6 linked regions of the Danio rerio genome follow. The protein of the gene in region 6 purifies or fractionates together with the protein of the main gene of each other region. This does not show direct contact. Links are inferred from orthologs where the notes say so. Each region holds a gene or a part of one and is shown on either strand. Other genes may lie near its edges.

What was found.
Region 1: the proteins of ccnd1 (region 6) and cdk1 purify together in Homo sapiens (affinity purification with mass spectrometry; 4 studies listed by BioGRID and IntAct, counting the BioPlex papers as one, with this or other methods). This does not show direct contact. The link is inferred for Danio rerio from reciprocal best matches to the Homo sapiens genes CCND1 and CDK1.
Region 2: the proteins of ccnd1 (region 6) and cdk5 purify together in Homo sapiens (co-immunoprecipitation; 4 studies listed by BioGRID and IntAct, counting the BioPlex papers as one, with this or other methods). This does not show direct contact. The link is inferred for Danio rerio from reciprocal best matches to the Homo sapiens genes CCND1 and CDK5.
Region 3: the proteins of ccnd1 (region 6) and cul1b purify together in Homo sapiens (affinity purification with western blotting; 4 studies listed by BioGRID). This does not show direct contact. The link is inferred for Danio rerio from reciprocal best matches to the Homo sapiens genes CCND1 and CUL1.
Region 4: the proteins of ccnd1 (region 6) and pcna purify together in Homo sapiens (affinity purification with western blotting; 5 studies listed by BioGRID and IntAct, with this or other methods). This does not show direct contact. The link is inferred for Danio rerio from reciprocal best matches to the Homo sapiens genes CCND1 and PCNA.
Region 5: the proteins of ccnd1 (region 6) and cdkn2a/b purify together in Homo sapiens (affinity purification with western blotting; 3 studies listed by BioGRID and IntAct, with this or other methods). This does not show direct contact. The link is inferred for Danio rerio from reciprocal best matches to the Homo sapiens genes CCND1 and CDKN2A.

Annotation. Positions count from the first base shown.
Region 1 is NC_133192.1:22,199,176-22,204,567, forward strand, and holds the start of cdk1 (cyclin-dependent kinase 1), read left to right. Parts: upstream 1-2,180; 5' UTR 2,181-2,289; intron 2,290-2,936; 5' UTR 2,937-2,950; coding exon 2,951-2,987; intron 2,988-3,111; coding exon 3,112-3,268; intron 3,269-3,980; coding exon 3,981-4,104; intron 4,105-4,412; coding exon 4,413-4,583; intron 4,584-5,308; coding exon 5,309-5,392. UniProt on the Homo sapiens protein: Plays a key role in the control of the eukaryotic cell cycle by modulating the centrosome cycle as well as mitotic onset; promotes G2-M transition via association with multiple interphase cyclins.
Region 2 is NC_133199.1:37,948,199-37,953,446, reverse strand, and holds the end of cdk5 (cyclin-dependent kinase 5), read left to right. Parts: intron 1-924; coding exon 925-1,005; intron 1,006-2,465; coding exon 2,466-2,552; 3' UTR 2,553-4,409; downstream 4,410-5,248. UniProt on the Homo sapiens protein: Proline-directed serine/threonine-protein kinase essential for neuronal cell cycle arrest and differentiation and may be involved in apoptotic cell death in neuronal diseases by triggering abortive cell cycle re-entry. Interacts with D1 and D3-type G1 cyclins.
Region 3 is NC_133199.1:21,241,996-21,246,616, forward strand, and holds part of cul1b (cullin-1b), read right to left. Parts: intron 2,657-4,621; coding exon 2,526-2,656; intron 127-2,525; coding exon 19-126; intron 1-18. UniProt on the Homo sapiens protein: Core component of multiple cullin-RING-based SCF (SKP1-CUL1-F-box protein) E3 ubiquitin-protein ligase complexes, which mediate the ubiquitination of proteins involved in cell cycle progression, signal transduction and transcription.
Region 4 is NC_133185.1:46,058,089-46,063,339, reverse strand, and holds the start of pcna (proliferating cell nuclear antigen), read left to right. Parts: upstream 1-1,788; 5' UTR 1,789-2,050; coding exon 2,051-2,271; exon of another isoform or gene 2,272-2,324; coding exon of another isoform or gene 2,325-2,356; exon of another isoform or gene 2,357-2,546; intron 2,547-2,750; coding exon 2,751-2,848; intron 2,849-3,270; coding exon 3,271-3,338; intron 3,339-3,845; coding exon 3,846-4,040; intron 4,041-5,251. Other genes in the region: E3 ubiquitin-protein ligase TRIM69, read right to left, coding at 2,325-2,356. UniProt on the Homo sapiens protein: Auxiliary protein of DNA polymerase delta and epsilon, is involved in the control of eukaryotic DNA replication by increasing the polymerase's processibility during elongation of the leading strand.
Region 5 is NC_133176.1:27,775,735-27,781,063, reverse strand, and holds the start of cdkn2a/b (cyclin-dependent kinase inhibitor 2A), read left to right. Parts: upstream 1-2,149; 5' UTR 2,150-2,411; coding exon 2,412-2,537; intron 2,538-4,195; coding exon 4,196-4,447; 3' UTR 4,448-5,329. UniProt on the Homo sapiens protein: Acts as a negative regulator of the proliferation of normal cells by interacting strongly with CDK4 and CDK6. This inhibits their ability to interact with cyclins D and to phosphorylate the retinoblastoma protein.
Region 6 is NC_133182.1:69,631,900-69,637,017, reverse strand, and holds the start of ccnd1 (G1/S-specific cyclin-D1), read left to right. Parts: upstream 1-2,058; 5' UTR 2,059-2,337; coding exon 2,338-2,535; intron 2,536-3,932; coding exon 3,933-4,148; intron 4,149-4,519; coding exon 4,520-4,679; intron 4,680-5,118. UniProt on the Homo sapiens protein: Regulatory component of the cyclin D1-CDK4 (DC) complex that phosphorylates and inhibits members of the retinoblastoma (RB) protein family including RB1 and regulates the cell-cycle during G(1)/S transition.

The sequences.
Region 1 (5,392 bases), on a different chromosome or scaffold from region 6:
AACACAACCCAATACTGAATAAACATGTTAAAAAATGCTATAATATTTACTAAAAATCACCATAGTATTTTTTCATGAGGTCATTCGTCTGCGATAAAAAACGCGAACGAGATCTCCTCCACTGGTGACGTTTCCAGGTGGCTAAACAGCGAGATTCGGCAGGTGTCCGACTTCTGATGTAATTTTTGAGCCCTCCTCTTACTGCGCACGCCTGCTCTCGTTTACAATGCAGTCAAGGCGAGGCGCACCTCAAACGAGCCTAATGTTATAACAGAAACGCTCCCTGATGATGTGGAGCTGATCTGTGAATCACAGCACATTGTTAGCGGACCAATCAGAGCCTCTTGGGGGCAGGCCTTTCAACGGAACTAGGAAATACGTCATTCATTTTCAGGTTAGCTGAGTAGCAGTATATAGCTACAGTAAGATATATGAAAAAATAATGTGATTTTCTACAAATGAAGCATGAGCACAGATTGCTTTGCACCCCTTAAACACAACCAAGCCTTAAAAATACATTGTGGACCACCTCTTTAATGAATCATGTGGGCTCATCAAGATTGCCCCCCAGTGGTGAATCACTAAAAATGTTCAAACATTCACCTGACCTCAAATCAGTTTTACAAGTTTATAAACATTTTAATGAAACATTTGTAAAACAAAGAGTAATAATAGTAGTTAATAGTCCCTTGTTGTCCTGTTTAGCACACCCATTGTACAAACAAATCTTTAAAAAATGTTAAAACAATACATATTATGCAGACACTTTTTTGAATGGTTCAAAACAGGCAATCCTTTTGTGAAGCAATTGGTTCAATTGTTTCTAAGCTTTGAAAAACTTAATTTCTCCCATTACTAGATTTTACACTGAGACGGTAACATTTTCAAAAATATTTTCATGTCCCCAAAACAAGATTGGTATGTAACGATGTTCAGTAATAATAATTTTTAAAAAGTTAAACAGTGTAAAAAGGTTCAAATCAATATTTCTATTTATTATTTATGTGGTAAGACGCTGTGTCATAAAATTGACGCAATCTGACGGTCATTATCATAAAACAAATCTTAACATGGTGATAAAAATACCAGGGTCTAAAACAGAATAATGACCACATCCCTTATAACACAGAATACTAGCATTCTTTAAAAATATTGATTAAAAAAAACACCCAAAATTAGTTTGACCTCCTCTATCCCAATTCCTACAGCCAATCAGAGTGGCTCAAATATGCATGGTAATAATTTGTAACTAATCACTTCTTTAATTAAAGTCTCTACCTCTGAGAATTTAGGATGGAATTGAGATTTTATCCCGGGGACTAAGCCTCCTTTATTTCTCTGTAATTAGACAGCCTAGTTATGCTTCATTGGGCTTCTGAGAGCTTCTTTTAAATGGTTCTGTTGGGGGGAAATAAACTTTATTAAAAATTGTTTTTTTACTTTGTGACCCCACATCAAATCTTTCTGAAATCAAACCATGTAAACTAGAATACTACTACTAATAATAATAATAATAATAATAGTCCAATTATAAAAGCTAATAAGTAGCTTTTCTACACAATATTTTACACGTGTCTCCCTCTCTGTCTTTTTATATAATATACATATAACAAATAAAAACGTAAATATAAATTAGCATCTGTTGGAGATCTGGTTAAATAATACTGAAAAGAACAGTCCAACAGTGACACCAAGTCGTCAAAAAGAGTAATGCATGCGTGCTCGTCTGTGTACCACTCAAAATCAATATGTGACCATTGTATGAGACTCACAATATAATAATTACATTATTTGTTTGTTGTTTGTCGTTACAAATGTAGGACATTTAAGACACAAGACTGCAGCAACGAACGCAATGAACTAGAATGTCGGTTTTAGGGTAACTAAAGGACGTTAGAGATGTTTCGTCTGAACACCCACTACCAGTGATATACAGCAACAAGTGTCTGTCAAAAACGTAAAAATCGCTATTCCTACCTGCACAAGGACTACTTTGAACTAAATATACAACAAGCCGCGCATGCGCACATTATCCAACACAGACGCCGCTTTCCTCCCGCTCCCAACCGCTCTATCATCTGATTGGTTGATTTTGAAGTCCCACTGAGTGCGCTGATTGGCTGCTTTTGAATTACGTCCACGCGGCCAGTTTGAATCAAGGAACTCGCAATTCAGCAGGACACACACACACAACATCCGCAAGCTTTTTCATTCCTCTAAAATTTCGAGAACTCTGTTGGACGTAGGACAGTTTGATATTCATCCATATTAGATATAGTTACAGAAAAGGTGAGTTTTTAAAAATCCATGATGATGATTGACTGTTATGTTAACGATTTTGATTCTGATCGCGTAACATTAAGTTGTTTGGGCCCAACTGAGCAAAAACTACTTAGTCATTTAACTGTAAGTTGATACTGTAAACTTTACTGAATGATGTTTTTGTTTATGTAATTTTAACGTTGCAAATGTACGTCCTAAATAAAACAGACGGTTGATCATTGGATTTTAGCACTAGTTTCTGCTGCATCTTGATTTTCCGTTGCCACATTGCTAAGTTACTTATTTTTCTCATGAAAACGTGTCTGACGTTACGAGGTTTTTAGGCACAAAATTATGACTTTGGAATTATGAAAAAGGATTTTATCTAATGGTTGTGATTTTGATGTCAACGCCAAAAGCTAAGACCTGTTCAGTCAGTCTTTTAACGGTACACATAATGTGTATATTTGACATCCACTGTAACTTTGATTGCTTTAGATAGTTAGTTTAAAGCAAAAACGAACAAGTTTAATGAAGAAAATAAAGAGAAAAGTTTCATTATGCATCCAGACTTTTTTTCCTCTTTCTAAAAATAAAAAAAAAATGATTCTGAAAATGTCATGTTATGCTGTCATTAATTTACTTTTTTTATTCTTTGTGTTTTTTCAAAAAAGAGTGTTTGGGGAAAATGGATGACTATCTGAAGATAGAGAAAATTGGTGAAGGTAAGATTTATCTTGTGCTTATTGTCATTTACATTAGCTACTATTATTCTTAGCTAGTCTCTAAATAATAAAACTGAGAGTGTTTTTAGTGAATGTCTAATGTAAATATGTGTGTGTTCTTTAGGTACGTATGGTGTAGTATATAAGGGCAGGAATAAAACCACAGGACAGGTGGTGGCGATGAAGAAGATCCGTCTGGAGAGTGAGGAGGAAGGCGTTCCCAGCACTGCTGTCAGAGAAATCTCCCTCCTCAAGGAGCTCCAGCACCCAAACGTTGTACGGTATGACAGATTTCATTACATGTTTAACAAAACAAATAATTTAGAGTCAATCAGATTTACTGTACAGAAAGTGCTGTTTGTATGCCTGTCTCTGTGGTGGTGGGTTAAAGACGGGTTGGTCTAATACAGCTTTATATTTTACTCTCTATCCATTGGAATGTGTTTGGTTTAATATATTTGTCCTGAACAATAAAAATAGTTATGACAGGATAATTGATGTCATCACCCACAACAAAGTAATATATTTTAACAATATTTAATATACCTCGCAAAAAAAATTGATCAGCATATTGTTATATCAGGAATTGTGTGATGACATTAAAATGCTGTTAAGGGTTCACAGTTTAAAAATGTATGTAGGTTGATAAACTACTACTCAAATTTGGGTGCTGTTTTTAATGCTTACCAATGCTTTGTTAATTTGATTAAAAACTATTGTGAAGTCTTACCACAGATTAATGTCTGTTATAAATGATGAATTTTCAGCATTATTACTACAGTCTTCAGTCTCATTATTCCTCAGAAATCAATCTAACATACCATTATTACTCCAGTCTTCAGTCTCAGTGCTTCAGAAATCATCCTAATAAGTTGATTTAGTTTACATTTATGTATATTACTAGTATCATAGTATAAACAGTTTTTGTTTTTCATATTTACTATGACAGTATATGTACTATTTTTACAAATAAAGTGTTTCTCTTTTTCCCAGCCTGCTAGATGTGCTGATGCAGGAATCCAAATTATATCTAGTTTTTGAGTTTCTGTCCATGGATCTGAAGAAATATTTGGACTCCATCCCATCAGGCGAATTCATGGATCCTATGTTGGTCAAGGTGTGTATTTTTTTTATTATTTTATATATATATATATATATATATATATATATATATATATATATATATATATATATATATATATATATATATATATTTTTTTTTTTTTTTATTTATTTATTTATTTATTTATTTTTTTTTTTTTTGGTACTGTAAATACAACGATTTTGTTTCATGTGCCTTTCATGCCCCGAAATACATAAATACTACATTCCTCAATGTTTTATAATGGCATGTGTTTGGATTCTATACTATAGTATTGAATGTGTATCTTGAAGTAACCGTGCTGATGTGTGTTGTCTATGTAGAGTTACCTTTATCAGATCCTGGAGGGGATTCTGTTCTGCCACTGTCGCAGGGTTCTGCATCGAGACCTGAAGCCCCAGAACCTGCTTATCGACAATAAAGGTGTAATTAAACTGGCAGATTTCGGCTTAGCCCGTGCCTTTGGGGTCCCAGTAAGAGTCTATACTCATGAGGTAAGTACACACATCCCACAATGGAGGCCACATTTCCATCCGCTATTACATTCACACTTAAAAAAAAATAGACATTTTTGTAATTGAGTAAAGGTGACATAAGTGAAAATTTAACACAAACTATCTTCTGTCAACTATATACTTCATTTATACCCTAAGAAAATCAAAGAAAATACTGAATGTGTATTATAGATGTATTCTTCGAGCTAAACCTATGATTTCTTTAAATTGGAAAAATGGATGTACACCAAATATAGGTTACTGGCTGAAAGAAATGGTTTTAAATACGACAGTAAAAAAGATAACCTATATATTAAAAGATAAATGCAAGGTTTTTGAGGGAGATCTTTCAAATTGTTTAGTTGTACTTTTTTAAATTAACTTTATCATATATTGTACCTATAATGTGGCTATTTCACACAGTCTCTCTCATTAACTAGCTTTTACTAACGCAATGTGTAAAGTGTTTTATCGTCACTTTATAATAATTTAGCAATTTAGGGTGTTTATTTTAAATATGAATATACAATACACAATTATTATTTTTTTGTTATAGCTGTTAGAAGTACTTTTTTACAGCTTTGGTCTATCATGATACAGCTTCAGCAGTTAATCGCAACAAGAAAATTTGATACTGGCAGAAGCCTAATACCAGTTGATGATACTTGCTCAAAATGTTATAATCACTAATGCTGACGTGTGTGCGCATGATTATGATTGTGCAGGTGGTCACTCTGTGGTACAGAGCTCCAGAAGTGCTGCTGGGGGCTTCACGCTATTCCACACCTGTAGATCTCTGGAGTATTGGC
Region 2 (5,248 bases), on a different chromosome or scaffold from region 6:
ACTTCTAGACATGATAAAGACAAGTTTCGTAGCTGTAGGACACCATTACGGAATAAATAAATCTTCGGCTCTTTACATAAAAAAGGACGGAAATAACATAAAGATGACAGCAGCTATAAGCTTCAACAAAGTTACAATAAGGGTTGTAACTGTCTGCAACAAGACCATCGTAAGCATGGAGTCTGCTTTGGATTAGATTAGATTAGATTAGATTAGATTCAACTTTATTGTCATTACACATGTACAAGTACAATGCAACGAAATGCAGTTTAGGTCTAACCAGCAGTGCAACAGCAGCAAGTGCAGGATACAGGTATATATATTTAGCTTTGAGTATCAGTGATTGCAGGAAAAATGTTGATGCCTGTCTGAGAAAAGCCTATAAAGTGTGCAGTGAGGGGTTCTACAGCCTTAAAACATCTATTCATTCATTAATTTTCCTTCGGCTTAGTCCCTTTATAGCATATGAATTACACAGTGAATGCCCATCCAGCTGCAACACATTACTGGGAAACATCCATACACACATTTTTACACACATACACTACGGCCAATTTAGTTTATTCAATTCAGCTATAGCATATGTCTTTGGACTGAGGGTGATACCGGAGCACCCAGAGAAAACCCATGCCAACACGTGGAGAACATGCAAACTTCACACAGATATGCCAACTGACCCAGCTGTGACTCGAACCAGCAACCTTCTTGCTGTGAGGCGACAGTGCTAACCACTGAGTCACCGTGTCGCCCTTAAAACATCTATAATAATTGTAAAAAAATAAAGCTGACTACTTTACGGATTTCAGGTTATTTTAAGAACGTAGCTCCTGTGATTAACGAGGGACCACTGTACTCAGTAATTGGCTGCATATATTTTTAATTTATTTATATATTGTTTTAAATATTTATTTGATATTTCAATAGCCGTACCCGATGTATCCAGCTACTACATCACTTGTGAACGTCGTGCCGAAACTCAGCAGCACCGGCAGAGATTTACTACAGGTATATTATTTGCATTATCATAACAATCGCAGCTGAAATCAAAATGATTAGCTCTCCTGTGATTTAATTATTTTGCTTTTTAGGTATATATTTCCCAAGTGCTTTTTAACAGAGCAAGGACATTTTCACAGTAATTCCTATAATATTTTTTCTTCTGTAGAAAGCCTTTTTGCCCTGAAATAAAAGCAGTTTTAAATTTTTTAAAACCAATTTTAAGGTCAATATTATTACCCCCCTTAACATTTTGTTTATTTTAGTTGTCCACACAGAACAAACACCTGTTGTCCAATAACTTGCCCAATTACCATACATTGCAAAATTGTAATGTAATGTGTATTTATATAGTGCATTTATTGTGTATGGCCATACACACAATGTGCTTTACAATCATGAGGGGGGGTCTCCCCACACCACTACCAGTGTGCAGCATCCACTTTGATGATGTGACAGCAGCCACAGGACAACGGCGCCAGTGCGCTCACCACACACCAGCTATAGTTGTAGTGGAGAGACAGTGATCCAGCCAATTTCTTGGATGGGGATGATCAGTAAGGGCCGATGGAGGGACTTTGGTCAGGACACCGGGTATACACCACTACGCTTTACGAGAAGTGCCATGGGATTTTTAACAAGAGTCAGGACCTCAGTTTAACAACGGTGCATACTGACAGTATAATGTCCCCTTCACTATACTGGGGCATTGGGACTCAACACAGACTGCAGGTTGAGCTCCCGCTGCTGACCTCATTAACACCACTTCCAACTGCAACCTAGATTTCCCATGTGGTCTCTCATCCAGGTATTGACCAGGCTCAGCCCTGCTTGGCTTCAGTGCGTAACTGGTCTTGGGCTACAGGTAGATATGGCTGTGGCATTAACATTATTAACCTAATTAGGTCTTCAAATAGTGTCCTGCAAAATATAATGTACTGTCATCATGGCAAAGACAAATAAATAAGTTGGAAATTAGTTGTTCCTAAATTGGAGATGAGTCATTAAAACTATTATGTTTAGAAACGTTGGACCAGTGCTGGGGTCAAGTCGGAGAACTCACTCTTTTCCACCGGGCTCTGGACTGGTTGGGGAAATTTTAAATTAAACGGGAAAAAAAATCAATAACAATTGGCAACATTGCAACATACAGAACCTGGGTAGTTTAAAATAATATAAATAAATAAATAAATATATATATATATATATATATATATATATATATATATATATATATATATATATATATATATATATATATATATATATATATATATTTGATATATATTTGATATATATATATATCATTTTTATTTTTTTAATGTTGAAAAAAAACTATTTTAAAGCACTTGTGAAATATTTCAATAATAATTGCAGTTTTATATTAATTTTTGATTAACTGTATTTCATGATTGATGGTTTTGCTAAATGTTACTATTTTGTGACTTTTTGTTTTTATTTTTTTCTAGAATCTTCTGAAATGTAATCCAGTACAGCGAATCTCAGCAGAAGAAGCTCTACAGCACCCTTACTTTGCTGATTTCTGCCCACCATAAAAAAACAAAAACAAAAACTGCTCTCCAAATCATCATGTAGGAACACAGACGGGCCAGTTTTACCTCCTCAAACCCCCCTCAGCTTCTGCTTTCACCATAGGATAATAGAGGGACCACCAGACACTCCTCCATTAGTGATTATGGTTATGATTTGATCATACAGACATGATTATAATAGTGACTCTCTCTAATGCAGAGTGTGCTGCTGTTATTCGGCACAAATCTCCAAAAAGACCTTTATGTTGTTACTATGGTCTTAAAGGGATAGTTCATCAAAAATCAATTTGACATATTTCTTCATTAACAAAATGTGTGTTTTTAGCTGAAACACTGGTCATTGGGTGATTTATAAAATGCAAGTCAACAGCACTTTGGGAGTCAAAAAAAACACATACAGGCAAAATTAAAGGGATAGTTCACCCAAAACTGAAAATGCGTTATTCACTCTCTATTCAAAACCTTCATTCTGTTGAACATAAAAGAAGACATTTCGAAGAATGCTGGAAACCTGTAATCATTGACTTCCATAGCATTTGTTTTTCCTGCTATGGGTATCAATAGTACATCAGAAACGTGTTCAACATAATGAAGAAACACATAAAGGTTTGGAGTAAACAGTGAGAATTTGTTTTTGACTGAACTGTGCCTTTAATGATTGGAATAGTTGATTCCATGAGCATTATGAACTTCATTGTGTTTTATAAGACCTCAATTTATTGTCCAGAGCTGAATATATATGTATTTTGATTAGCCTGTATGTTATTTATTTATGTATTTATTTTTGACTCCATATCTTACTTGCAGTTTTATGAATCAACAAGGATCACAGTTTAAACCATAAGTCTTTTAATGTGTCACTGAATTAAAAGAAAGCGACCGTCTTTGATGACCCGAGGGTATTAAATCAACAGCAAAGTTTCATTTTTAATGGAATTATCGGAAAAAGTTCATCCAGACAAACAAAATTAGAGAATCGCATAACGTCAGACCATCTAAAGGGACAGTTCACCCAAAAATGAAAAATTCCTCGTAATTCCTCAAGTGCTTCTAAAGTTTTTTGAGTTTCTTCTGTTGAACAAAAATGCTGATGTTTTGAAGAATGTTGGAAAAAGCATCTCTAGTAGCAACGAAAAATACTCAATGGCTGTTTTTCACGTTCTTCAGTACATTTTCATTTATGTTCAATAAGAAAGCAACTCAAACAGGCTTTAAACAAGTGAAAGATTAAATGATCATTTTATTTTTTGCGTGAACTATCCATATAAACATTGATCATAGTCACATATATAGGTGAACTGTTATGTAAATTAAAAATGTTGATAATTTCTTCTAGCCTGCAAACCTTCAATCCTGGCCCTACATGATTCATTTAGTTGCCAAATGTTCTTCATTGGTCTCTGAAGGTTTACAAAACGCTGCGGTGGGGACTACAAAAAGCAGCAATTTCTTTATCTTATTATTATTTTTTTTTGTCTACGATCAAATGAGCATTATAATTGAATGAGGTACAGCGCACATCATTGATTTAGCACACGTTACGATATACAGTATATAAAGAAAAACCACCATAGAATTTTGTGTTGTACACAGTAATGGTAAAAAAAGTCTAGGTTGTGCGATTTTTCTATGAGCGAGATTTTAGCATTCATTTTAAACAACACTGTTATCGTTTTCCTATTCTTCATTTAAAGAAACGCTGCACCTTATTTTTTTTAAGTTAAACAGTTGAATTTGACTATATTTTTAAAAATGTATTCAGTTGATCTTTGTGTTTGGTGGGAACACTTTTAGCTAAGCTTAACATAAGTCATTGAATCAGATTAGACCATTAGCATCTCCCTCAAAAAAAAAAAAAAAAGTTGAGTTTTGATTATTTTCTTATTTAAAGAGTGACTCCATTTTAACCAATTTTTAAATATTCATTCATCAGATCTTCAGGTCCGGTGGGAGCACCGTTAGCTTAGCTTAGCATAAATCATTGAATCGGATTAGACCATTAACATCACGCTCAAAAATAATAAAGTTGAGTCTTAATAATTCTCCATTTTACAGCTTGACTCTTCTTTAGTTACATTGTGTACTAAGACTGCTGAAAATAGAATGTTCTATTTTCTGAGTCATAATCAAGGAACCTTTTTTAGGCACTGCGTAAGATCACTGCGCTTGTTTTAGCCATGATACAGCAACAAAGTTCCTTGCTTATTACGCCAGAATGACAGTAAAGTTCCAAGACAGCTGTTCATTTACTGCCAGTCTGACTACGCAATGTAACTACAGAAAAGTCAAGCTTCAAATTGGTAAAATATTTAAACTTTTTGTTTTATTGAGATGCTAATGGTCTAATCCGATTTAATGATCTATGCTAAGCTAAGCTAAAAGTGCTCGTAGACTCTGAGATACACTGAATGAATTGAAAATGGTGAAATTCAACTGTATAACTGTAGGGAGGTAATAAAATGAGCCTTTCCTTAAAAATTCGAAAATGGAGTGTTTTAATTTTGTTGTACATTCAGTAAAGATTAAAAAAAAAGTATGTTGTGCAACTACTTTTTTAGGAACAAGATTTTAGCATTCATTTTAAACAACACCATTAGCGTTTTCTTATTCTTCATTTAAAGGAACACTCACTTCTTTTTTCTTTTTTTTTTTTAATGGGCTCATTTTACAACTCCTGGAGTTAAAGTTAAGTTTCCCCA
Region 3 (4,621 bases), on a different chromosome or scaffold from region 6:
CTCATATAAGCTTACAACCTTATCCAGTGCCGCCACGAACCCGGCATCATTATTGAACGCAGACATGACAAGAGCATTGTATTTCTTGTGAACATCCAAGGTAGTTTGCACATACATTTTAGGATCCTGAAAAACAAGAAGTGACAATTCAGACTGTGATCAAATTAAGGCCTTACAGGAACTGAGCAGAGCAGATGTACCGGGAAACACGCACGACAAAAAAAACAAAAACAAACTAACATGATATCCAGGATTAATGGAGATAAATATTACTGGCCAGTGCTTTACACTGGTTTGAAATGCACTCGCGGTGGTAGCCGGATTGAAACACATTCTTTACGCACAACACATAAATGATTAATTACATATGACACAAAAATAATGTGATTTTTAACAATATTTTTATTTATTATACACTGTTTCTTTTCAATGGGTTAAATTTGGTCAAAGGGCTTTTGAAATAAGAAAAGAAATCCAGTATTTCTCTCATTTTTATGCTATTTTGGAGCCATCTGCACACAGCTGCACTCTGCTCTCTCTCTCTCTTTACTGGCATGCATTTACTACAGTACTGCCAAAGCATTTTAGATATGCATAAAATATGTAATGAATAACATAACATAAATGAGAAATAAATAACAATAGACTATATCTCTAAAATGGATACTTTGTAATAATTAGAATTAAAAATGTGTAGATTATATAAATAAGGCAATTTAGTTGATTAATGGTGTACTTCTATTTTGCAGCCAGTTTAGATCTCATTTTGTCCTCTCTGAGTATACAGTAATGTTTTTTTACTTGTTTAGATGAATGAATCCATTATTTACTTTTTCTCCTGTTCTCGCAGCTGTGCACGCTGTCAGCTGTGAAGCCAAGTCTTTAATAAAAAGAGGAATGCAAAAACATAACAGCTTTAGAAAGCGAAAGCAAAAGTTGACTCCCGGACATTTTAGGAGATTTAGAAACACCGGCCAGATGTATTTTTAAGCCTCAAAAAGTTGCATGTCTTTGGGTCTCTGCATAGCACGTGAGACTGTCTGAGGAAGTGTTGTTGACAGTTCTCGCTCACACACAATGAGCAGTATGAAATGGGGCAGGAGAAGATTTTACATTGGTTAATCGAACGCAGACATTTGAGTTATCTTGGGCGGATACAAAAAAAACTGTAATGGGTGATAATATATATATATATATTAATATACCTGGGCAACCTGTCCAAGTAAAGTCTATGGCTGTTTCTCAATATGCGTTCTTCAGCGCTCTTGCATTCTCGTGTTCTCGTGCAACGTCATCATCAGCTGCCTAAGTTCAGTTCCAATACTCAAGACCGCAAGTACGGAGGACGCGTGAAACTTCCCGGATGTGATCTTGATATCGAGGACGCACTGATGCAGACTTGAGCACTGAACTCGCTCTGGAAGTCCCAGAATTCATTGCGACTGGAGGTGGGAAGCGCAGCATTTTATTTAGATTTATTATTAAAGTTCAGAGATATCACTTATTTACCTCAGGAGTTTCCCTAAATGAAACAGTGAAAGTAAACATTAACATGAACATCTTAATAAAGGAATAAACACATTAAGGGTGTTTGTTAGCTGAAATTCGTATTAAAATTAGTTTTATTTATATTGTGCAGAGTATATTTATAATGTTTTTATGCAAAGTATATATTTTGGAAAAGGGGGGGGGGCATTAAATCATTGTATGAATGCTGTAATGTTTAAATAATTTCCATTTAAAACGCGTGAAGGTCACATGACCATCAGGAAGAACGCAGCATCCCATTTCTCAAAGGACGCATTCTCTGCCCTCACGGTCTCCTGAGTTCGTTCTTCCGAGGACACCTGGTAAGACTGGTCTCCACAAGAACGCAAGTCCGTTCTCGGAATTGAGAAACAGCCAAAGTATGGTGTTAATGAATAAGGCTGTATTTTCCATATTATTCCATCTGAAATATGGTTTGAATTCTATTGCAAAGCAACTTACGTGATGCAATATATGTGAAGCAAACAAAACAAAAATATGAGGCATGTGATCATATTTCCCACACAAATTACACCCAGTTTTGCTTTAATTTAGACTTGGTGTTTTAAAAATGTCTAAATGTTAACTTAAAGTTCACTTAAGTGTGTTTTATATTTTTTATTCTTATTCAGTTCCTAATACTTCAATTTTTTAAATTAAATAATAAATCAAGATTTGGTTTCCTGTAAAGGCGGTGCCTGGCTTTTATTGATGTGGCATACAGTGGGTGAGTCACTTCTATGAAATATAATACAAGTGTATTTTTAAATCATGGAGATTTTAGGTCACAGTCAAACAGCTTTTGTCCTGATAATAATAGTCCTGTTATGGATTATTACAAATGACGTGACGCTAAGTACAAGAAATTCAGGTTCACTTGTGCTTTCAACACAACATTCACAAGCCAAATCAATCAAATTTTAAACTGCTCAGCATGAAACTGAAAGCATTGTTTCCACATGGTCACTGTGGGTTTAAACTGCATAAGCATGACTTACATTGAGCGCTGAATCTCCACACTTCTCGATGGCTGCCAGACCCTGATTATGAATGTGGGACTCCAAGAGTTTCTTTAGCTCTCCCAATCCATCTGTGATTCGGGAAACAAGGTTGTACATCCGACCGAGATCTGCAATTATAAACAATGTGTGATGACCATCAGACAGAGTGTTATTTTGTGGATTTTAGAAATGTGCAAGGTTTCTTTTTTTATCATGATGATTATGTAGTGAACAGCTTACAAGTAACGTCAGTTACGTAATAATGTTACTTTAAGCAACAAGTAAAGCATTTTTTTAAATTAAGTACTAATATTAAAATGCAACAAAAGTTACTATTTACTTTTAGTTACTATTTAAAAAATAAAATGCTTAATTATAATTAAAGAAGTCATAATGAATCATGCAGTCAATAAGACAATGGGCTCTATTTTGATGGTCCTTGCGCAAAGTGTGTTTTGAGAATAAACCAATCAGAGTCTCATCTCCCATTCCCTTTAACCGTACGTTCACACCGAAAGCGGCGAGAGAGTCCAAGGTCACTCTGGCCACCCTGGCGACAACGCTGTCTGCCTTCAGCTCCGGCGGCGAAAGCGTCAAAACTCGCTACATTGATCTCGTATTTAAAGGAGCCGTTGCAGCATATCAGTTACATTCCTGCATAAAACATGTTTCTAGCGTGAAAATGTTGCACACTTCTTATCATATTCATACAACAATGGAAGATCAAGTTGCATGTGGTGTGGCTTTGCTCTATTTATCCAATACGTGTTCATATGTCTGAAATATCCTGAAGCAGCAGTACTGTTTTGTACTGTCATATCGCGTGAGATTCCCACTTTTTTAAGATAAATTTATATAACATTAATAAACATCAGTAACTCGCCAGTAACTTATTTAATGTATGTTCCTGTAGGAAAACATTGTAAATAATTGGAAATCCGGCGACTGCAATAATCAAACCCTTGGGAACAACTGTGATCGGAACCAAAGTTCACAGGTCTGTGTTCTCTGAACTGCTATCAAGCGGTGGATGTCTTCATTCTGATTGCTTGCCGCCGAACTGCGTCATAGCTCATTACCATAAAGTTGACTTCATTTCAACTCTCATCGACGCTCACACCGACGAAGACGCGCCGCGCTGCTTCTCGCCGCTGGCTCTCATTGAAAATGAATGACTTCCAGCTACTTTGATGCTCTCGCCGCTTTCGGTGTGAACGTCTGATAAGAGTCAGTTGCGCCGCGCCATAGCGCATTTGCTATTTACAAGGCGGACTTTGTAAGTGGAAAAACTGAACACTTCACTAGAGAGAAAACAGCATCTACAGCGTGAGCATGAGAGATAAGCCTTCTCATTGTTTACTTTCGCTTTCACTCTCGTGGATAGAGAAACGTGTTGTACGCACCGACATCTATTAGCCTATACATAATTAATTTTGTTTGTTAAGCGCAAAGATTGTTTCAAAACTATTTCTAAATTCAGTTCTAATTTCCAGAAAAAGAATAAATGAACAATAATAACGAAGTGTGGTCAAAAAAGTTTTTCAAATACACATGCTGTGCCCCATATGGTCTAAAACCTGACAGGTGGACACATCTAAGCTTGTTTTTAATAAAACAAAAATAAATATGCATATAATAAATAATACTGCTAATAATAGTAACTTTACAAAAGCAAATTGTTCTGAATAAACTGAAAAAGCCCCCAGAGAAGGCATGAAAGTATGGTTTTTATATTTATGTAGGCTGGAAAATAATCATTTTTGTAATATTTTAATCCTTAATTCTTTTTCATTTGTAAAGATATTTGTGTATTACTGTACATCCTGTGTGTATTAAGTAATGTGTAAGGTAAGCGCACAACTAATTGTGCTACTAACTAATTGTGTAACTACATCATGTAACTACAACTGCGCTGGACAATAGACCAGATCAAATCGCGCCAGTATTTGAGTATTTGATATGTGCTTATGCATAAAAAAATCAGTTTGATCAAATGAAACAAGTTGAAAGTCAAATTAAAGGGTGCTGTCATTATTTACAAGTCTTGTAAAACACTGCAACATCGATAAGGTTAAAAGGCTTTTTTCATCAAC
Region 4 (5,251 bases), on a different chromosome or scaffold from region 6:
GGGGGCCTCCGCATTTTGCGCTACGCCACTGATTTTTGTTTATATATTTTTAACTGAGGGGTAGATGCTAATAAAATACAATTAAAGGGGTAATTTAATAAATAACATAATACTCTGTATAATTACTGTTTTTACACTACTGTGAGGGTAGGGGTAGATGTTACAATTTAAAAAGTAATTTAATAAGTAATATGAATAATACTCCGTATAGTTACTGTTTTTACATCACTGTGATGGTTGGGTTTAGGGTTGGGGTAGTCATTAATAAAATGCAATTATTGATAACTTAATAATAATTAACATAAATTATTAAATGTAAACTGCCGACTGCAGCTGTATCCCCTCTAGCAACAAAAGTTATGTGTTATACAAACAAAAAAAGGGATACAGTTGGGGATACTTGGGCATGCGCACATCAGCATGATTTTTGTGACAATATTTCGTATTTTACGTTACTGTGATGGGTCGATTTAGGATTTGGGTAAGGTAGACGTTATTAAAACGCATAATAATGGTTATTCATAAATATTATAAATAATTATCCTTAACTGAAGACCGCACCTGCAGTTACACCATAGATATATACATATATATATACATACACACACACACACACACACACATACATACATATATATATATATATATATATATATATATATATATATATATATATATATATATATATATGCTCAAGTATCCCCAACTGTATCCCTTCTTTTGTTTGTGTAACACATATATGTATGTATGTATGTATGTATATATATATATATATATATATATATATATATATATATATATATACATACATAAATGTGTTACACAAACAAAAGAAGGGATACAGTTGTGGGATACTTGATCATGCGCACATCAACATAGCATGATTTTTGTGACACAACAGTATTTTACGTTACTGTGATGGGTCGATTTAGGATTTGGGTAAGGTAGACGTTATTAAAAAGCATTATAATGGGTATTCATAAATATTATAAGTAGTTATTGTTAACTGAAGACCGCAGCTATATCCTTTAGCAACAAAACATGTGTTACACAAAAAGTTGCGGATACTTGGGCATGCGCACATCAACATCAATCGTTGGTACACTGCACAACAATAATTAATATTTTACGTTACTGTGACTTGTCGATTTAGGGTTTGGTTAGGGGTATACGTTATTAAAACGCACTGTAATGGGTATTTATAATTTTTATAAATAATTCTCGTTAACTGCTGACCGTAGCTGTATCCCTTCTAGCAACAGCACAGTAATTTGTCACAGAAACAAAAAAGGGATACAGGTGCGTATACTTGGGCATGCGCACATCAACATAGTCTGATCTTTGGTAAACTGCACAACAATAATTAATAATTTACGTTACTGTGACTGGTCAATTTAGGGTTTGGTTAGGGGGTATACGTTATTAAAACGCACTGTAATGGGTATTTATAAATTTTATAAATAATTCTCGTTAACTGCCGACCGTAGCTGTATCCCTTCTAGCAACAGCACAGTAATTTGTCAAAGAAACAAAAAAAGGGATACAGTTGTGGATACTTGGGCATGCGCACGTTGACATAGCATCATTTTTCACACTGTACGACAATATATAATATTTTACACCACAGTGACGGGTCAGTTTAGGGTTTGGGTGGGGGTAAAGGTTATTAAAACGCACTGTAATGGGTATTCATAAATGTTGTGAATAACTCATACCTTCTGACCAAATTGCGCCCTCTTTTGGTCAGTGTCCGCAGTTCTGTCTGCGTTCCAGGAGGAGTCAAACGTCAGCGGAAATGACGAAGGCAACAGTGGGTCAGTTTAACAAAATCCCGGCGAAAGCGCGCGCAGTTACATTCAGAGCCTCGCCAGAACAGTGGACAGCACATCTGCACCGTGCCTCCTCTGCATTAGTACCTGCTAAACTCTAGGATAGTTTAGGATTCTGCTTTCCTGTGCTGGAAAACAAGCAGTTAACCAGGCCGCAGCTTGTGTCGTAACAGGATTAGATAACTTTAGTTCCTCCTACTCTAAACTAAGAAAGCAGCACAATGTTTGAGGCACGTCTGGTTCAGGGATCTATCCTTAAGAAGGTCCTGGAGGCTCTGAAAGACCTGATCACCGAGGCTTGCTGGGATGTGAGCTCGTCGGGCATTTCTCTGCAGAGTATGGACTCCTCTCATGTGTCTCTGGTGCAGCTGACGCTCCGGAGTGACGGGTTCGACTCCTACCGCTGCGACAGAAACCTAGCCATGGGGGTCAATCTGAGCAGGTAAAATCACTGACTAAATCAAGCGCCTTTTGTGTTATTTGACTCGTATTTACTTGGTGAGTGAAGTTTGAACATGTCTGCGCATGCCCGGGGCTGCGCCTCTACACAGCAGCGCGCCATTTTTAGACTATAAAGTGACAAAAGTATTTTATTTACAGTAGTTGTTATTAAAGTATGCCGTTTTACGGTTGTGTTTTAAATAGGCTATCAGTTTAATTTGGCGCGCAGTTTCCTGCATTCGTCCCACGCTCTACTGATCGTGACGTCACTTGCGCGCGCTTAAGCTTGTTGGCGGGAAAGAAAATGCCGGGTTGCTGAATGACAACATGGCTCTGGTGTTAGACAAAGAAAACCTGCTTAGACACTTTTTGTGTATGCCATGACTGTTTCGAATGTAAATGGTAAACCATTTTACGATCAATATGGTGTTTTTCTACCTGAAGTGAACGTGTTTTGATTATTATTCATCTGTTTCCTAGCATGTCGAAGATTCTGAAGTGTGCTGGAAATGAAGACATCATCACACTCAGAGCTGAAGACAATGCTGACGCCTTGGCACTGGTCTTTGAAACGCTCAGTAAGTTAACTTCTTTTTAAACTAGGAATAGCAATACTTTTGATAGTGTACAATTAAAAAAAACTTTTTTTTATTATGAATTTATTTTATGTTGCTAAATTTATATTTGCAGTATTTTAATATCGATTTATCAGCAATACCTGTTAAAAACATGGGCTTTGGTTTAAAATGAATCATTAAAGTTAAGCTAAATAATTAATACTTAATATTTAAAAATAATTTTCTAATAATAATTTTCTCCAAAAATGTAAGAATGAAATTCGCATAGATACTGGAGCCATTTTGTGGTTAATAACATCACATAAAAAAAATGCTTCTAGTATGGATTTTCTTCACCATGTTATCAACTATTACTATGAAACCAAAAGTTAAGTTTTGCTGGAGAGCTAATAATCCATACTAATATTTACATCTCATTTCAGATCAAGAGAAAGTGTCCGACTATGAGATGAAACTGATGGATCTGGATGTGGAGCAGCTTGGCATTCCAGTAAGACTTTATTATAACAGGGTGTCTGCAGGGTCATTAAAAGTTGATAAATCAATTTGGTATTAAACAGCCTTAACTGTTGTTTTACAAGATATAATTGTTTTGGTCATTTTATGATTATATAATGTGTAGTTGTGTGCTAAAGTTTGCCTAAATTTAATCTGTGTGGTTTATGAAATTGATAAAATCCTGCTAGATTTGGCATCACACTGCTTTGTCTACTGCAGTAATAAAGGCAAGCCTATGTTTCCTGCTGTTCTATAGGTGCCATCTGTTGGGATTAGCATTTTTATTCAGTACATGACCGATTTAGTTTAGGATTCGTTTCTTACAATCAGTATTTAGTAAATATACTACAAGTTGAATTGTCACCAATGTTAAGTTAAAACCTAAAATGGCGATGAGGTCTTAAAGTTTATTGAGTTTCCCTCTCTTGATTCCTGTTTATTTCTGATATGATCGTGGATGTTTGTCTGCAATGATCATGCTTTATTCTCTTCCCCTCAGGAGCAGGAATACAGTTGTGTGGTGAAGATGCCGTCGGGTGAGTTTGCCCGCATCTGCAGGGATCTGTCACAGATTGGTGATGCTGTCATGATCTCGTGTGCCAAGGATGGCGTGAAGTTCTCTGCCAGCGGAGAGCTGGGCACAGGCAACATCAAGCTCTCACAGACCAGCAACGTCGACAAGGAGGATGAAGCGGTAACATACTATTCATTTAAGGCTGCACGATACTGGGAAAAATATGCAATATATATTCTATAATCAAACATTTCTCTGAAAAAGTCAATTTAATTAGCTGTTTTAAAAAAATTATTTCATGATTTTGCAATAAACAAGTAAAATATATTTTCCAGATCTAATTCAGACTTAAAACTGTCAAGATGCAAACCTTTAGTCTTTAAAGCACTATTAGTGAGAATCATTTTTTAGCTCTGATTTCACCTTTAAGCCAATCCAGCCAATAGCAGAACAGCAACTACTTAGGAGGCGGGGCTAAAGGTAGTAAAGGCCCCATCTGATTGATCAGATTTATATAATAAGCAGCTTTATTTTCATTTAGCACCTTTAAAAGTAGCATCTCGGGGCACTTTACAGACATAATGTGCAGCTGTTAAAGATGCATACAGGATGAATGCAAAAAAAATGCAATGAATATAATCAAACGCTTACAATAATAATAAATCTAAAAAGCTACCCTAAAAGAGTAGGTTATAAGTGATTTAATAATTATCTGGGATTTTATCAGAGGGTTAAGAGTTCCACAGATTGTGGCAATGCATAAAAATAACCAATGCATAAAAAACAGTATCCGTAGGGTCTTAATGTCTTAAGTTTAAAAAAAAAAAAAAGTCTTAAAATCACTGAAATATTGTGTTGTAGGTCTTAAATCATTTTAAACTGGTCTTAATTTTCCTGTCCCAAGTAAAGCTACCCAATCGGGCCGACATCCATATAATCACCAACAATCTATCTTCATAAAATCAGGGGGAAAAAAACTAAGAAATTACACAATTTCTCATGATCATAACCACAATTACATTGCGTTGCGTCATTTTTCATTCATACAAAACCTTTACAGAAGGGTGAGTAGACATTTAAAACTAGGCATGAAGCTTAAGGTTTTACAACAGGAACGCTTTAGCTTGAAAAGAAGTCGTACTCAATCAATTTGGACCAAAAGCCTTCAAATATATCTTTTTGATTATGTAATTGCCTCCATGATAAAAATACTTTAAAAAATGTTAAACTTGTAATTGAAAAAAAGAGAAATTAAAGTGTATACAACCAGAGTTGTCTTGTTTTGACATTAAAGTATGTCGCTAAGAAATGTTTACTTTTTTTTTTTTTTCTGACCAGCAAAAAAAATCCATTGGCCCAGCCAGGCCATTAAAGAAAATTCTTAGTGCATG
Region 5 (5,329 bases), on a different chromosome or scaffold from region 6:
TATGCAATTAAGTTTCTTGGTGTTGTATTGGAACATAAAATTAGCTGTAGCAATAGTGTATAAAGCAAAATTTATCCTGGACAATAAATCAATGTATATATTATATAACACACTTATGTAGCCATATATGAGTTATTGTGTTGAAATTTGGGGGAACACATATTATTCTAATTTACGATCCGTAAGTACAATGCAGAAAAAAAAGTAATCAGACTGATAGAAGGTGTGGGGTATTTGGAGCATACAAATATATTTTTTAAAATTAAAGATACTCAAGTTCAATGATTTGGTTAAATTTAAAACAGCACAATTTATGTTTAAAGCTAGGAATAAATTACATCCAAAATGCATACAAAAGTTTTTTGAATAAAGACAAGGGGGATATAACCTGAGAGAAGAACTAAATTTTATAGGAGGTTGAAAACAAGGACAACTTTAAAAAGTTTGTGTATGTCTGTCTGTGGTGTGAAATTATGGAACAGATCAGACTCTCAAACAATGTCAGCATGGTAATCAGTTTAAAAAGTTGTATAAATAAATATATATTATAAAAGGAATATAATGATGAAGGTGATTGAAAATGGTATGATGAAACTTTAATTAATGGCTATTTGCAGTACTATGTTTTTTTTTTGTTTTTTTTTTAGGTCTATGTTACAAAATGTAAAGGTACAAATGGATTTAAACATGTCAAAGATGCCAAAAGGATAAAATATGTCTCATGTAAAAAAAAGAGATGAGTGAAAGAAGAAATAGGTTTAAGTAATAGACGAATGAAGTATGTGGTAACGGGGTGGGAAAATAATAGGCTTGTGCTTCATCCCAGTCCATTTTCGAAAATGTTTTTTATTTTATTTTATTTTTTTATGATATTTTATGTATATTTTTGATCCAAAATAAATAAATCAAATCAAAACTTCTTTTTTCCCCCTTTTAATGTAGGAATTTCAACTGTGGTATTAAATATTAAAATGCTCATGCCTATTTACTGGAGTTGTGAAGTAAACTTTGTGCAGGATATCTTTTAGTTACATAGTTCAACTATTCTATTTCTACATGTTGTTTAATATCTATTCAACAAAACTAAGTAAAATAATTCATTTTTAATCGTTGCTTCTATGACATTTAAATTAAATTTTCTATTATTAACACTTAGCCAGTGGGGCTTTGCCAACTATTTTTTTTCTTTAATATTGTACTGCGTTGGTTTGTTATGATTATTTTATTTACTATTTCATATTTTAGTATCTATTTTGCATGCACATTAACCAATATTATTAACATGTTAACAACATCAAAACATGAATAAGTTAGAAAATTAAATACAAAAGCACACTGTTCTTCATTTTAAACAGGTGCATCTCAGAATGTGATTTTTACTTTATGTAAATGATCTACACAGCCACAGGACCCTTTATCTTTTTACTTATTTTCAACGTATTAGAGAGGCAACAAACTCACTGCTAAAATTAAAAACTATTTGCTACAATTGTTTAATACCTTGTTTCTGGATACAGGCTATAGTTTAGCTACAGTCGTGTGATGGGGAAATAGCATTACAAAACTGTAAGTCAGACGATGTTTGGGCAAAATTATGGCCATTCGCGTCCTTTCTATCGTGCAGAAAATAGATTTATGTTCATCTACAATCAAAAACAGAACAACCATTATGAAAAAAATATAAATATAGGCTACCACGAATGTATGTATATGCTTTTTTGTTATAATTTATGTGGATCAAAAATATAGTTTAACTTAAGCGCCCCACACAGCATAATGGCTAAATAATATACTTTAAAGTAGCCAAGTCAAACTTAATCTCTACAGGCCTAGCTAACATCGCGTCTTAATCAAAATCCATAAAATAACTTTACTCTTGAAAAACGAGAGATTTTTCCTGGTAACGTTAGCCTATTCCCGAAGAGTAACTTCTCCATGGCACAAAACCCAATTATGTTAGCATAATTAGCGTTGTGATATGCTTATGTACCCGAAAAAAAGAATAAAAAAACTTCTTGTGATCTAAAAGCAGGCTAATGCCAGTTACATTAGCCATAAAACATTAGCAGAACCTAATTTCTGTTTCTCTGCAGCCTCTCCTACTGTGTCGTAAACTCATGTCTTCCTGACTCAGCTGTTGTGCGCAGGCGCAGTATGACAGTACTGCACCACGGTTTTGCTGTGACGTTTATGACAGAGACAAGTCCGAACAAATATCTCGCTACGAAAAATTATTTTAAGACACAACACTTTGATAAACGAGTCAGTTTCGCTTATTTACGCATTATATTGGAACATGTTATTCATGGAGACCGATAAAAATAAATTACAGCGTTGAACTGATTGTTTTCGCAGTATCATCATCATTTGGTTTTACCTGTGAAGCGAATTAATTTCGAAAATCAATAAAGATGATGAACGTCGAGGATGAACTGACCACAGCAGCAGCCACCGGAAACATTTCCCATGTTCAGTTTTTACTTTCTAACGGAGTGAATGCCAATGTGGTTAACAAATTTAGAAGAACGCCTATACAGGTAGGTTTAGACGCGCTTTAAGAATAAACAACGGAAATAAACAAATGCAAATAAATAAATAAGATTAATTGCAGATATGTAACATTAAATTAGTAACATACAATTCAAAGACTTATTTTGTATTAAAGGTCATATTATTTAACAAATTTAGGCTATTTCATATTTTCACACCTGTTTGACTATATGGGATTTACTTTTCTTTTTTTTTTTTAAATATTAGGCTATTTGTGTATTTATTTTACTCATTTTAGCATGTTTAAGAACCTTTTAGGCTACTTAAACGGCCTGAAACATGTTTACCAATAGCGTGTTATCAACCTATATAATACTAACAACACTTTCTATCTTTTAGTAATGTCATTAATTTTAACATTATAATTTTAACTTATAGCTACATTCTTAGAAATTAGTCCGAAATAAGACAAGGAGTTTTGGATGTATTGTCAAAGTTCAAATTATTCAAAGAAAACTAAAATCTTATTGAAAACGAAAGTCCCAATGTACTATAACTGTGTATAAAAACCAAATGTTTACAATTATATATAAGAGATAGATAGATAGATTTATATACATAACAATAAATAAATAAGACATTTTATAGATCTTAATTTCAGATAAATTTTAAACTATTAAATCATATCTCTATGTGCGAGAAGAATGGCACACTACTTGCTAATTCACTCCCGAAAGCTTTGTTGGCATCGATGGTTTTAAGAAGAACCTTTTGCATCTATGGAGAAAATTTTTGAAAAATGTGCCTTTAAACTATTAAAATGTTTATTTCATTTTTTGACAATAAAAATACTTCTTTTGGAAGCTTTGTAATAGGTTTTCTGTGCGGAACCAGAAGGGCATCACTGCGAAAACCCTTTTCCTCTTATTGCCATGCTTGTTTTTACGAATGTACGTTTAATATTTTGACATTTGTACAGTTGGCCTATATTGACCAAAATAATCAGCCACCACTAGCACAGTCATAGACTAATGGAGTATATATTTTAGACCATACTTATTTTTGCTTGTTTTTATAATCGTGTAGGCCTATTATTATAATATTTGGTGTGAAAGTTTTCATCTAATTTTCACAATGTCCAATGGTTTTACGGTTCATGCTCTCGGTTACGGGACATCAAAAGCCGAAGAGGTAGCCTACAATAAAGTGCGTATAGATATCTTTTAGCACACTTTAAACAGATGGACAGCATACATCCAGAAATCGTAAAAGATTAGGCAATTGTAAAACTTCTGACGAGCATGAATTGCCTCAGAAAAATGTCAATTAAACGAAAGATGTTTAAGAAAATCACAAATGTGAACAAAGCATATTTATGGCATACATTTTATTTAAAATGATTATAGGAATCTTCATAATTAATCATATGAAAAATAAGAATTAGCTACAACACAATTTGTTGCATTTAATTGATTTACTGCCCGTGAATAATTTATTGATAGGCTAAAAGAGTAATGCATCATGCACAGCAATGTTCAGTGCCAGCATGTGCACTGCTTTCGTTCCTATTTAACCAAAAAGTATCTACTTTCCAGATTTCGAGTGATGGCAGTAAAATTATTGATTAAACAAACTTCTTTACAGTGACATCATGACGTTACTGGCGTTTATTTTTTCATGAGACAGCAATTTTCCCCCTCTCCAGGTGATGATGATGGGTAACGCACCTTTGGCTCTTGTGCTGCTGGAACAGGGAGCGGACCCTAATGTGCCTGACCCCGACACAGGGAGCACACCTCTGCACGACGCTGCCAGAACCGGATTCATTGACACCGTGCGGCTTTTAATCCGCTTCGGCGCCGACCCCAATACAAAAGATCACTGCGATTTACGACCAGTGGATGTGGCACAACAGACTGGCAACGTAGACGTGGTTGAATTACTCAATCGTGTTTAAAATGTTTAAAGACTGCATCACTGCATAGCCTAGGCTACTTTAGGTGGTAACCTTATTAATGCACTCAAGTACTTATAATTCTCAATAGCACATGGTCATTCATGTAGTTTGGAGATTCTAATCATTTAAAATTTTATTTCTGTATCTTTTAAGTTTATTTATTATTATTATTTATTATTAGCTAGTCAATGGGAACTTCAATAAAAGGCTACAGACACAAACCATCATACGCTCATGCTAGCCTATAGTTCGCATAATAAAAAGTGTAGACAGCATTATGTCCAAAGATAAATAAATAATTAAATAACATATCCACCTATTTGTTTTTAACCTGAAAAGCATGGCGACAAACATTGAATCAAATGGCTTGCAACGCAAGGACATCCAATATTTTTGGCGAGCTCTTTCTTTTTTCATTTCTTCCGGTTAAACATGCTTTTATTAAGTTTATAATATTGTACGACTAATAAAAATGAAACTTTCTATTTATACCAAGGCATAATTTAAATAATTTTGCTTAACGTGGTTAGCTGTTTGTTAGCTCTGTGTGGTTAAACTGTGTGGGTTAACTGACAAAAGAAACATTTAGTTTGTGCGGGATGTTTGTTAGCCTTTATTCTTAACTGTACTGTAGTGTTGAATTGATAATTGTTTCTTTTTTTCTGGCTACTCAAATACCCGGTGCAAACTAAACCCGTATGTTAATTAAGAGTTTAACCTTAAAAAACTATATATAGCCTAATAGAAAACGAGGCGCTTCATTTTACATGCATAACTCGTTTAACTAAGTGCAGGAAAGTGTATTAAAATCTCTATTTTTTTAGAAAGGCAGAGAGAGGAAAAAAACAGACAGAAAAGTTAAATAAGGCGTCGATGTAAAAG
Region 6 (5,118 bases):
TCTCAGAATCTTAGCAGGTAGGCTTTAAAAGTAAAAACGAAAAATGTAAAGTTTTAATACGTTTTTTTTTTATGTATTGTAAAATAAACTGATTACTGTTACCTTTTGTTATTATCAGCCTTCTAAAGGACTACATTTATCCTAACATGAACTCGTTCAGCTAATTTTATAATGGACATAATGAAACGTGAAAGAAAACGCATAAAAAGTCTTTGTCTTTTATGCAAAGAAAAAGAAAGTTCATAAAAGAATTATTTTCTTTCAAATGCCATTTCTTATAGACGTTTAAAATAATGGTAAGTAATACAGTGTCATATAATAGCCTGATATATTATTAAAGTAATCTAATAAAGTAATTTTTGATCTTATAATGAACAGCCTAAACTACTGTTTGCTATTAAATTAATTAATATATTTGCCTAATATTTAAAGAGCATTGTTGATATGTCTATATGTAAAATGACGTGTGGGGGAAAAAAACTTAAATCAGTGGAACATTTAAAGTTTTTCTTGTATTCTAGTTTCTCTCTGCAACTCGTTTTGGTCTTTGTCTTTTCTGTAAAAAAAAAAAAAAAATACAAAATTCCATTATATGCATGTTCTTATAGAGGTTTAAAGTAATAGTAAATAATACAGTAGCCTAATAACAGTTGCTATTATAGCCTAAGATAATATTATACTATGCTAATAAAATAACTTTTGATCTTAGAATGAACGTACTAGCCTGTTTGCTACTAAATATATAATAAATAAATAAATATATATATATATATATATATATATATATATATATACACAGAGTGTTGTTGATATGCTTATGTAAATGACTTGTGAGAACACTTAAATCCATGTAACATTTAAAGTTGTTCCTTTACTCTAGCTTATTTCTGCAACTCTAAAGTTTTTTGTCTTTGTCTTTTCTGTAAAAATAAAAGTTATATTTTTTCTTTAATATGCATGTTCTCAAAAAGGTTTAAAGTAATAGAACTTAATACAGTAACTTAGCTGCTATTATAGCATAATAAGCTTATAATACATTTATTAACATTTAAAGTTGTTACTTTATTGTAGCTTCTTTCTGCAGCTGAAGTTTTGGGCACAGGCAAATTACTTGTTTTACGGTATTGAAGTGGAATGTGCGGAATTTGTAAAGCTTCAATTCATCCTGAAGCGACAGCAGTGAGGTCTTTTAAAGTGAGAGCGCCCCTGTTTGATCAAACTCTATCAAACAATTTGTGTTGTTAAAGCTGCAGATGTCGTGTTTAAACTTTACCGGTGAGCTAATGTTTTCTTTTAACGCGGTTTGTTTCCGAGTCTAAATATTATAACTACTTTATTGTTTGTATTATTTTATTATTTGAAATATTTAATGTTTTGGTGTACAAAGAGAAAAAAAAAAGTTAAATGAGATTTAAGGAAATGTATTATTAAATACGACAAGAAGAATGCTTCACATGATTAATTTTAACAATTTATTTTGTTTATTTAACATTTCCACGAGGAGTTTTTTTTTAGATAAAAGCTCGTGCCGCAGTTCTGCCTGGCAACTGACGTGCTCCTCCATTGGTTTAGGCTAATTTGTGCTTCCTTCTTTAAGTCTAACCCCCCAAAAAGAAACAAAAAAATAAAACAAGCCTCCACCCAAGACCACACATTTGTTTCATATATAGCCTACTGAAACCACATTCAAGTTTGTGCAGAAACTTAGCTATATGAAACTTCATAAAGTAATCCAAAATCTTTTAAAAACATTTTAAAAGCCTGATTTTAAAAGCAGACAAGTGACTGTGACCAAATTTATTTTACAAATAAAACTTTTGATATATGCTTGTACAATTACAGTGACAAAAGTTTTTCAATGCGACAGTGTGGGCACCTTGATTTAGGCTATTATACTGCCCCCTACCAATACTAACCCAATACACATCTTCACCCCAGTCTTTTCCACCCCCGATACCCACGACACTAGCAGCCTGCCCCCTGCGCCCCCACCCCGGCCCAGCCTACCCCCACCACCGCTTCTCCTTGGTCACTCGTCACCCGGCGTAGGACCTCCTATTTCCATAGGGCTAAAGAAAGGAGCCAAAACTGAGAAGCAGATAGTTCTTTAGATTGATCCTCCGCCCTGAGCAGACAGCCTCTCGCTCTCTCACAGGCTCGCTGCTGCTGCTTTGATCTTCCCTTAACAACAGTCACGTCATAGGGGAGTTTTGTCAAGCGGAGAGCTGCAGCGAGACTTTTAGAGGGTTCAGCAGAGGCAGCAAAAAGCATCCACGGGACCAGTGTCCGACTCGAGCTCCAGCTTTCTTACTTTTCTCACTGCTAAACACTGAAGATATGGAGCACCAGTTGTTTTGCTGCGAAGTGGATACCATAAGAAGAGCTTACCAAGACAGCAACCTGTTGAATGACCGAGTTTTACAGACAATGCTTAAAGCTGAGGAAAACTATCTCCCATCACCAAATTATTTCAAGTGTGTTCAGAAAGAAATTGTGCCTAAAATGAGGAAAATCGTCGCGACGTGGATGCTCGAGGTTTGTTTTGGATAATATATTTATATATCTCTTTTTTTTTGCATTTGCTGCTACACACGTTGCCTCACGATGATTCTACTCTTGCTCTTTGGACTCCAAGAAGTATTTATTAAATGAAAAAAAATGCTTTAGTGTGACTTGGGTTCATCGGCATTGCTTATCCATCCCAGAAATATCACACAGAAACACGCTGTCCGATTATTGTTGCTTATTTTTTACGTAAAAATGTTTTATTACGAAATATTAATCCGACACGAGACGTTTTCCGTGCTTTCCGCTTTAGCCTTTTTATTTAGGGTTGTTATTTTTTCATGCATGCGTTTCGTTTCTTATAAATATTTTAAAATATAGATACATTTATTTATTTTTATTTTATTTTAATACCAATGTACACGTATGCATTCTCACTCGTGCCAGTAGCCTATTATACGCCATCTTTGTTGTCGTTTGCTTAAGTTTTTTATTTCTCTAAATTCTAAAATGGAAACATAATTGACATCACCTGCATAAAAGCGCTCACAAGTTGTCTTTTAAATCACAGGTATAACATAAATCAAATTTTTGCAAGAAAACGTAATATTTGTGTCTTAAAAGTTTTGTTTCAGTTTGTCATACCTCCTGCACGACGGTCTAAAAATATTGTATTATTTCATTTCTGAATTCAACATCGTGTTATAACCTATCGGATTATGTTAACCCTCTAATAATGTGGATTTACAGATGTTTAACAGTAGATTTAATGCTAAGGAATAATTTATATTAATTTATGAAACACCCGCTTCACCTAAATGTCGCATGCTTCCCTTTGTATGATGGGGCTTTGGATTTCAGTTCATTTCACGTAGTTTTTGTCATTGCAATCGAAATATTTTTGCATAATCTAATAAAGCATGAGTTACAGTACATTTACATGTGTTTAAAGTCAAGCAAAACAATTTTCGTATATTTTTAAATATTTTTTGAAAAGATGACGAACTAGAAAATTGTTTCCTGAACCGAGCTCAGACGCCACCTTTTTGCCTCGAAAGCAACGACCATTAGCATCAGAAGCAAATTGTAACATTTATACTTTGTGCAACACTTAGGATTAAACTTAAATTACTGATTAAATACTATTTTTAAGCATTTCCACGTGTCTTTTTTTTCTAATTTAACCCTTTCCACTGCACGTGTACGAATCAGCAGATGCTAAACACGTGGGATAACTCGATAAGATCAAAGCATACTGTAGCTTAAAAAATATTTGCACTTCGTTTATTTAATAAATTTCTATGAATAGTTTTTATTTTTATTTTTTATTTTTTTTTATTTATATATTTCTACACGTTTAATTAAAAGAATTAGCTGCTGTTGTGACTTAATATTTATTTATCGTATGCACTTTCTTTTCTTTAAAGGTCTGTGAAGAGCAGAAATGTGAAGAGGAAGTTTTTCCTTTGGCTATGAACTACCTGGACAGGTTTTTATCTGTGGAGCCCACCAAAAAAACCAGGTTGCAGCTTTTAGGAGCAACTTGTATGTTTCTGGCTTCAAAAATGAAAGAGACTGTGCCACTTACAGCAGAGAAGTTGTGCATATACACGGACAACTCTGTCCGTCCCGGCGAATTATTGGTAAATGTTTAATACTCTTTAATTTAGCAGCTTGATATTGTTTTCTTTTTTTTTTTTTTTTTGTGCTGAATTAAAGTAAAATAATGCAATTGAAGGTCATTTTGCTCAAAGACCTATACGTTAAGGTATTGCATGAAACAACGAGCTAAATGAGTTTATCAAAGTGTTAAGGCACCCACAGATATCTGTAAATAACAGTACATGTTACAAATTGTTGGTGCTTTTGATGTGTGCGTTAATTGAACGTAGGCCTTGCGTTATTGTGCAATTAATCGACATCTCCATCTAGCGTTCAAAGAGTGTAAAATCTGAAATGGAAAAATCGTCTGGGGCTTTATGTAAACTTGGACCATTTTATATCTCCCTCGCAGCAAATGGAACTGCTGGCGCTAAATAAACTGAAGTGGGATCTGGCCTCAGTGACACCACATGATTTCATTGAACACTTCCTTGCCAAACTGCCTATACATCAGAGCTCCAAGCAGATACTGCGCAAACACGCCCAGACCTTTGTGGCCCTCTGTGCGACAGGTATGTTTGTACTTTTGAGCTCACTTTTATTTTGTTTCGGTAACTTTGCAAAAGTTTTGAGCACTTTATCATGGTCATGCATTGAAGATCCTTCCCTCACAGTGTTTTACTTTCAGGCAGACTTCTTTATTGCAATTGAACGAGCCATCTTGCTTGTCCTAATTCCATACTCACAGTTATTGTAAACCAGTGAGAGGCTCTGCAAAGAGAGAGGAAGTCTGTTTCCTTTTGTGGTGATTGCTGACTGCTCCAGAGCTTCTGAGAAGCCCTGCCTGCTTCACGATACCGCTTCTGTGCACACAGTGCATGTGAACCAAAAAGCGGAAGTAGTTTTCTGACATTTTCCCTGTGAAAAGGGCTTTGTAACCTGATATTTTCCCATGTCTAGACATCTTGATGTCCAGGTACCCTTTTAGTTAGAGTGTTTGCTTCGGGGTAA